Arabidopsis thaliana: one gene and its partner. The protein of the gene in region 1 interacts with the protein of each later gene in a pairwise test. Each region holds a gene or a part of one and is shown on either strand. Other genes may lie near its edges.

Region 1 (4,191 bases):
ATGTATAACTGAGTAATTCTATTTTGAAAAATACTTTCTTGCACTTTTTTGGCCATCGATGACCATTAGAACCGTCAGAGTTGCTTGAAGCTGAAACCGTAGTTCCCTAAACAAAAACTGTTGATACTCAAATCATACAATTCATGTAAAGGTTTAAGGAGAAGGACGGATAATCTCTTATAAGACGAATTAGGTTTGGCGAATACAAGATTATACAAGGTGAAGGTACGAGTTTACAAGGACAATCCGAGAAGACAATGTATCCAACTCGTTTGAATAAAGGTGCAAGAATGACGGACAAGGCGTTTGGTTCGAAAGATGTTCGTACGTACTAACGATTAAAAAAAGGCTTCCTAGGAACTCAATGGGGAAACTTGTACGAAGGAGATTACATGTACTCTCTACATATGTGTCAGCGTGAAATTCGGGATCCTTTCTCGACAGTGTTTTTCCGCTTTTATAGGGAAGATATATGCGGTCATGAACTCGGGATGATTTTTCTTTTCTGCTCCCAGCAAATTGACGATACTTAATGGGCTGAGCTTGTGTAACGGACCAAACGCAAGTCTCTTTCTTATGGGCCTAACTATATTTGGGCCGGGCTTTTTGGAATGGGGCGGAACCCATGTCCAACAAAAAAACAGAAAACTAAAGTATTAATATATGTTGCTAAAAGAAATTTTAATTGTTAAGAAAAATCTTGTTATTCATGGAAAAAGAAAATAAGTTTTTCTTCAAATTTTATTAAACATGGTATGATTAAATTTATTTTTATACTATAAACTATATAATCTCTTTTTCTAGCTTAAAGTGAGCTGGAATTTTCTTTAAGAATTTTAAACCATTTTCTTACTCAAGTTTTTTTTTTTAATCTAAATAAAGGTTAAATAGTATTTTTCTCTAAATACATATTAACCAATCTATAAAGTAAAAGAATTTAAGGGAAAACTATTAAAAGTTTATTAAAGTAATTTTTATTTACACAAAAATTAGTTTCTTATTCTTTAGATTTAGTTTTCCTTCCTTTTTTTTTTCTTTTTTTTTCCTTGAGAATCTTGAAAATAATATATATATATATATATTAAAATATATATCTGTGTATTAAGAAATATTAAAATAGATGTATGAAGCTAAATACAGAAACAAATCTTAAATAATTATTGTCCAGCTAAGTGTGAGCTGGAAATTTCTTTAACAGATATAAAACCACATTCTTACTCAATTGTTCCTTTTATTATCTCTTTAATTTATTTATATTATAGTTTTTGATATCCGTTTTTAATTAATGTTTTCATAACCGTTGGAACCTTTAGGTTCGAAAGACAAACGAATTTTGACAAATTAGAAAACGGAAATAAATAACTGTACATAAAAGTTATGTTTCGGTAAATATTATGACAGAATTATTTATTCTAGAATACCAACGAAATTGTTCGTGTCCAAAAAAGAAAAAATGAATCAAATTTGTTGTGAAGAGTTTAATTTAATCCATTGTTGAAATCAAATTCTCTACTAAACTTCAAACATGGACAAACAGTTTTAAATTACATCTATAATTAATTTTAGGTATTATTATTCATCTTAAAAAAACATGAGCATACAAGAAAAAAAGACAAATGGATACCGATCGAACTAAAACAAACCCTAGTTCAACTCTCAAACTGAAAAACATGAAGAGGAAAGAAAAAGCAAACAGAAACGAACTAAAACGTCCAGAACTGAACACTCTTAAATCTCCAATATTTATTTTAAAGACTCCAAATTGGCCTTCTCAGCGACGCCGTCTCCTCCTTCACAAGCTCAAACTGTGGTTGTGGCTGTTGTTGTTGCTGCTGATGTTGTATCACTGGCGGTAGCATTACCATTAAAGGTGGAATTGTAATTATCACTAATAGTACTGTAATTAGTTGAAGGTGCATGATCTGTCATTGTAGAAACCGGAAACACCATCTGACGATGACCAGTATTTACAACCGTACAAGGGAAAACGTTATTACTAATATTATCACCATTAAAGGTGTAACTAGGAAAATTCCTATTTGGCTGGATATCTTCATTGGAGGTGGTGGTGACACCATGTCCCGTGGCTGCGAAAATGGCAGGCTCGGCATTCTGGAGGAGCCAACTGACAGTTTCACCATCGGTTTTAAAGCCGAGTTCTTTTGTCAATCTAAATAGTTGGGGAGCAACACTCGGCGGGATCCGAATGCGACGATCACGGCCACCAATTTTCAAATGGCGGTCTTTTGGAGTCCTTCTTGCCTTTTGGCTGTTGTTAATTCCATTTTTCGAATCCATTTTTCTCTGTTTTTTTTTTCTTTTTCTTTTGTAAATGGAAGTGGAAAATATGTTTGTTTCACTTGGATTATATAGAAACGTTACAGAAAACTCTATTTCTATTTATGTTATGTATGGAAAACAATAATGGTGTAACAAACTAATAATTAAACTAATTGGTAAATAGAAGAAATCTTAAATTTATATAGGTATATTTGAGAATGAAATATTATCATGTAATATAATATGTAGTATAGAAAATATATTTAGTGGACCTGAAAAAAAGAAGTTATATTGGAATAATTAATTGATAGGTCCACTAAAAAAAGGAAAATAAACCTTTCTTCTGGCAGTTTACAGAAATTATTATTTACTGATACAACTGTACAAGTATAGTCCTATTTTATCCTATTTTAATTTTTTTAAAGTTAAGGTTTTAGTTTTTTTCCTTAGAAATTAATGATATTCCAACATTGTTATTTAAAATATTATATTGTTATTTTTAAACTAGGTGTTTGGATAGGAGTTCGCATATTTTTTTTTGGACGGTTAATTTGTTCTTCAGATATTGTCTATTTGTTTATTTATCAAACTATATTTCATTTAGGGTCAAATTCCCCGGACTATCAATTCTGAAAATAGAGATTCAGACTTAAAAATATATATCCAGAAAATTCCCTTAAGCTAACCCATTCGGGATAAAAAGTTTTTGAGGCTTAATCCCACCAGATTCAAGCCGGCCTAAAAAAATTTTAATTTTTTTTTTTACTTTTCTTTTGTTAATATTTTTCTTTAATTGGAATATTTGTTTTTGTTTTTTTTAATAGTATTGAAAACCCTAAACCTAGTTTTTCAATTGTGCCTTACTATAAATCTAAAAAACAAATCTTGGCTCGACTGTCTAGATTAAAATCTTCTGATTTTATATTTTATTTGTTATGAGTTTAAATAAAAAAATTAGATTATTTTTTTTGATTTTAAACCTTTTTTTTTGAAAATAAACTGGCTTTCATGGTTATTTAAATTTCAACTGATTTGTTTTGTTCATATATCCATCTTTCAGAAATATTATAAATTATAAATTTGTTTTTTTCTGGAAAGAAAAACATAAAAAACCTGGAAAAGTCTTGTCCCTGTTATTACCAGATCTTGAAATATAAGTTCAAATTTTTTTATTTCAAAATTTTTACTAACCGAACCAGACTAAATAAAATATATTCGAATTTTCTGGACTTTGTCAGACTGGACTAGTCCAATTGACATGTCTAAACTATTATAATAAATTATTTGTATGTAAGAAAATATATCCAAGTAAAATGATGGGTTACAAGACAGATGGTTTAGAAATAACCTGATATCATATTACCCGACTCTTACACATACTTTGTTTTCTTAAAACGGATAAGAGTTGGATAACATACTGTATATTGTTTGGTCAGCCTTACTGTTTTCATTTCCAAACTGACTTTTCAAATAAAGAACTAAAAAAAAGTCATCACCATCATTTTGAGCATGTTTCTATAACTCAAGCGGAACACTTTTAGAATTCGTCAAATCAAATATATTTTGACTCATTTTAAATCAAATATTCACTTTTACGAGAATAATTAACGAATTCTATCATCATTGAGCTATGATTTCATACGTATACCTTATAATTTAGATTATACTCTAAATTAGTGTGATGTTAAAAATTCAACAAATATTTAACCCTCAAACACTTACCGAGGTACTGTGTAAATGACTTCTTACATACTATTGAGCGTTCGAATTAATTGATCAAATAGAGATTTGCTTTTCAGCTATTTTTTTTTTTTTTGAATTACTAAGAGGTTTTTGGGATTTTCAGCTTTATCTGTTTGAGATTAATATAGGAGACAAAGGAGCATTTGTTTTATTCATTTTATCAAGAAG
Region 2 (4,798 bases), about 11 Mb from region 1:
TTCTACTTGGATAACTACCAATAGGAAAAGTAAATATTAATTTTTTTATTTTAAGTGATTTTATCTTCATGAACTGTTACGGGCATACAATGTTTTCCTCTGCAAAATTGTCTCTCTTTTAAAAACAGGAGTTTAACTTATCAAATTAACTTCTAAAATATACCTCAACTATTCTGTCTGAGTGAAATTATTTGAATACGATAAAAGATGCGTAAAAACATTCTTTATTTCTAGATATATATATATATTTGTAAACATAATTTACTCGCTATAAATACTCTCTTTGAGAGGACAAAGACTTTGAAATAATACTACTAAAAAGTCTTATTCTCATAAATATATTATTAAAAAAAATGGGAATGTGGGCGCCACCGTCTCTGATTCGGTCTCTTCTGAAAAGGATGATGATGACTCGCGCTGCTTGGCCGTCGGTGCCGCTTCACTCTTTTTTTTTTTTTGCGTAGTTAATAAACATGAAAGTGTATGATCCAGACACGTGGATAAGAATAGAATCTAGCCGTTGGATCTACACGAGAATCACGAAAGGATAGTTATTGACTCTTTCTGATTGCGGAGTTGGAGACAAGAATCCAATCAAAAACCTCTCTTCTCTGCCTCTCATTATGAAGCCGCTTTCTATTTCACACCCTCTTATACGTCGTCGTTTTCTTTCAAACTTTTAACATCATTGTTTTGTACCTATATTTACATTTTCAACACATCACGCCATCATTCAATAAAAAATTTCGCAAGTTAAATTTACTTTCCGCACAAATTTAAAACAACGAAATAAAATTCAAAAAGACCAGCCATCTAGAAATAATTGGCCAAAAGAATATCTATAAATAACACTATTGTTAGCTTAACGGGTCAAATGATGTTGGTTTAGTCCAATTCAACTCCGAATCAATTCAATGTCATAGTTTAAAGAAAATTAATTTTGCACTATAAGCTATATATTCTAAAAGCTTTCAGATAAAAAAAACCAATATCTAGACTAGTCATAGTTGTTTCTTTAGAGACTTTGTGTACTCTTTTTCCATTTTTTGCCGACAAAAATTTGTTTACGAAACTAGAGATCTTTCTTAAAAAAAATTGAACAAAATCTTATCTTTGTTTTGTGGCAGTTTCTTTTCCAAATTTAAGAATCTATCAAATTAAAAATCTAGGTTCTCTCTGTCAGACCTAAAGAGTGTTAACTCTCAGCTTCAAGACTCTTCCAAGTTAGCTAGAAAGAAAAGAAATGAGTATGTCCGTACTCTGTGAGTGGACCCTACTACTAAGTGACGTAAGCGCAAAGAATTTTCTAACTTACGCCGCAGAGAGCAAAACGAGGGCCCACACACGCCGGCTGCGTGTCTGCTGGAAACTTGGACCATTGTTAAAAGCCGACGATACTCAACTACCATTTTATTAATCTCACTTTGAATTTTAGTTTTTCTTATACTTCAACTTACAATTATTTTGTTTTGTCAAATAAGTAATTTTAGTCCCTTCAATTTTTTTAATTTGGTGGTAACGATAGAAAAGGAAAGCCAATAGAAGGAGCCGCCACAACCCACAAGTAGTAATAATCAAAATTTCGGAAATTGGATTGGACAAGATAATTCTGAAGATTACCAAATTATTGATTGAAAATTTGGAAGAACAAAAAAAAAAAAAGTAGTAAAAAAAATAGAGAAACAACATGGGGTGAAACCAAGTCGCAAAAAATTAAAAGCACACAACAAAAGTTCAGATCTCCGGTTATGTAATAATATGTACATAACGATCCATGTCAGCTAAAATTATATTTTTCTCTCTCAGATTTAATCTGTTTTTTCTTTCTAAAAACTGGTAATAAATTTAGACTGAGAGAGAGAGAGAGGAAAAACTATGAGAAAACGAATTTTCACAGCTCAAAAAGAAGAAGAAACGCATGCGCTTCGAATTGAAACGACACCGTTAAAAGCTCAGGCCTGTTCCGATGGAGGAGGCAAATTAAGATCTAGATCTAACAGCTGAGATCTCTTCTCCATCCCACCTTCGAAATCAACGACCGATGACGAATCAGAGTCGCTTTGGGCACCACAAGCCATCTTCGTCGCAACATGCACCACCGGCGATCTAAACGCCGATGTCACAGGAGGAGGCTGACCACGACCTACGTTACCGATCCCCATCAGGTCCAAAAAGTAGACAGGACGCGACATCGGGATCTGATAACACGAGCCGCCGCCTCCTCCGCCGAGACTAAGCTCGAGCTGCGGGGGAACATTCCCAGCCGTCGCTGAAGGCACAACTAACGTCGGAGGAGAAGCACAGTCGAGCGTGCTGCTCTGGCTAGGGCTACGCGCGAAACCGGTAGGGACCTTCTGGTCACTCAGCTCGAGAAAAGTTGGGAAATTGGTCTTAGCCTTAGCACCACGAAAATCACGCGCCGCCGTATCGTAAGCACGCGCCGCCTCTTCAGCCGTATCGAAAGTGCCAAGCCAGACGCGGGTTTTCTTGCCCGGATCTCGGATCTCGGCGGCATAACGGCCCCAAGGACGCTTCCTAACGCCTCTGTAACGAATCTCCTTGGCATTATTGTGGGTCTGGTTAGTAGTAGCCGGGTCGGGTTTCAAGCCCATCTTGGCCATTCTCGGATAGATAGATTAGAGAGAGAGTGGTGGTGTGATAGATAATTGAAGGGAGAAGAGGAAAGGAGAGAGTTGTTTATATATAGGATGGGAGAGAGAGTAAAAGCGACGCTCCTTTTGGGGCGCTTTGTTGTGAACAGTCAAAGCCTGAAATGGTTTTAGCGGCTTCTCTTACAAAACACCAGCGGTTTTCATGGTTTTCTTTTTTACCTCCACTTATCTTTTGCCACGTGTTTTTCTTTCCTCTTTCAAAGAATTTTGTTTTTCTTATCAACCCTTCATTTCTTTTTTAACCTCACCAAGCGTTTTCAATTTTTGTTGATCATCTTATTAATGAATTTATTGATGTATTTAAAAAGTTGAATACATTGTCAAAAATATAGATACAAATTAAATACATTAATTTGATTGACTTTAATTTTAAAATAAAACTTTTTATCACTGGATCTTTAATTTAATTATTAATATTTGGCAATGAGAAAATTAATTGGACTATGTAATCTTTGCATTAAAGTTCTTAATGAAATAAGGATAAATTTTGAAATATAGATCTTACTATGATACATATTTAATCAATCCGTATTTTGAATGATTTATTTTGTGGTGGAAAATATTGGATGCAAAGTCTTTTTTTTTTTTTTTTGTGTAAACTATTTTATCTAAAAAGTGAAATTCATTTGTTATCTGTATGTACAATGTACTAACAAACTTTTGATACAATTTGTAACAAAAAAACTAAAGAAATCCGTACAGTATTTGACGCATTTAATGGAGATGCATGTTGTTTGCTGTTTTGTCTACACAGCGTATTCCCTTGAATGCTGGTGATAAGATTTTGATTTTCATAACCGAGGGAATTAAGAATGTAATCCCACATCTTAATTTAATATATATAGTTAATCTAACTACGAATTGTCATGTGCCATTTACCCTCATGATTTAGGATATAACTACACAAGCTTGCTCTAGTGAGTACACTTGTAATGAACTCAGTTTGTTTTCTCATAACCTGTTGGATCAACCTTAATGCTTGCATAATTGAGAAAAAAACTTGAACAAATATGTGAGTAACTAATTTTTCAGATCATATCAATTTTGTTTTCGTATCTCAAAACTTTTGGTTTAAAAAATACCCAATTTTTTGTAAGACCAATAAACAACTAAAGATACTGTTATGTGTGTAAAAATTTGAAAATACAGGTAAATAAAGTCATACTATATGGCAGTGTGAGTTAAAGACAAGAGTAACTTCAAAAACTAGGAAATAAGTTAAGCAGCGGCGCCTGAAAAGAAGAGAGAAGAAGAAACCAAAGAACAGTATTGGATGACGCAAAAATGTAAAATACGTGGCAACACCTTGAGGACGCGCGGCTTGGGAACCGCGTTTCCATGTACGAGCGTGAATCTCACCGCCAAACACGTGCCGACGGCGATCGCGTGAAAGAAAGAGCGTTATGCGTGACTTCGTAGACTCAGCTCCAAATTCAACTTGGAGTTTGACTGCTTTTTCTTTCGCGGAATAAAACTAAAATAAAAACAAAAGGCTATTTAGCCGCCCCTCCGCCAAAGAAAAACAAAGATGGCCCACAACGCACTCGCTATTTAAATAAAATAGAAAGAGTTTTAAAGATGTATAGTGCCACGTGGTCAACGCGACGCGTGGAGAATGGATGAAGAGAGAGAGAGAATGGTGGCCGCGTCGGCTAACCGAGAGAGATTCTAACGGCGGTGGGCCCGCCGTTTGTTTTGTTCTTTGTTTCCTAAAAGACGGACGGTAATTACATTCTGACGGCAGAACAAGACGTGTGATTAATAGATTAGTTTTAATAAATTTTATGTAATTTGGTTGTTAATTGGCTCTTTTTTAATTGGTCTTTGTTTATTCTTTTACGACAGCTACATATGTCTTCACGCCATGGATAATGGATTGGGTTTCTTGGGCCACAGAATCAGCTGGATATCAGAAAATAAAAAGATTCATTTATTTAAATATATTATCTTTACGTTTCATTAAGAAGATACTACTGTTTAATTTTCTTAAACATGATTATAGACTTAAGCTAGCTTCACTTTTATGCTGTCTCTATATTCAAAACCTCTGTTTGTTTGTAAGCAAAACTTTCGGTACCAAACAATATCACTTCAATCGAAATAAATTCTTTATTCAATAAAAATTA

The links. Proteins that work in one complex are often made in the same cells at the same time.
Region 2: the proteins of TCP16 (region 1) and ERF4 interact in binary tests that used the Arabidopsis thaliana proteins (3 or more experiments, as listed by UniProt).

The regions. Positions count from the first base shown.
Region 1 is NC_003074.8:16,529,286-16,533,476, reverse strand, and holds TCP16 (TCP domain protein 16), read right to left. Parts: upstream 2,299-4,191; coding exon 1,801-2,298; downstream 1-1,800. UniProt on the Arabidopsis thaliana protein: Required during early processes in pollen development.
Region 2 is NC_003074.8:5,119,295-5,124,092, reverse strand, and holds ERF4 (ethylene responsive element binding factor 4), read right to left. Parts: upstream 2,672-4,798; 5' UTR 2,622-2,671; coding exon 1,953-2,621; 3' UTR 1,531-1,952; downstream 1-1,530.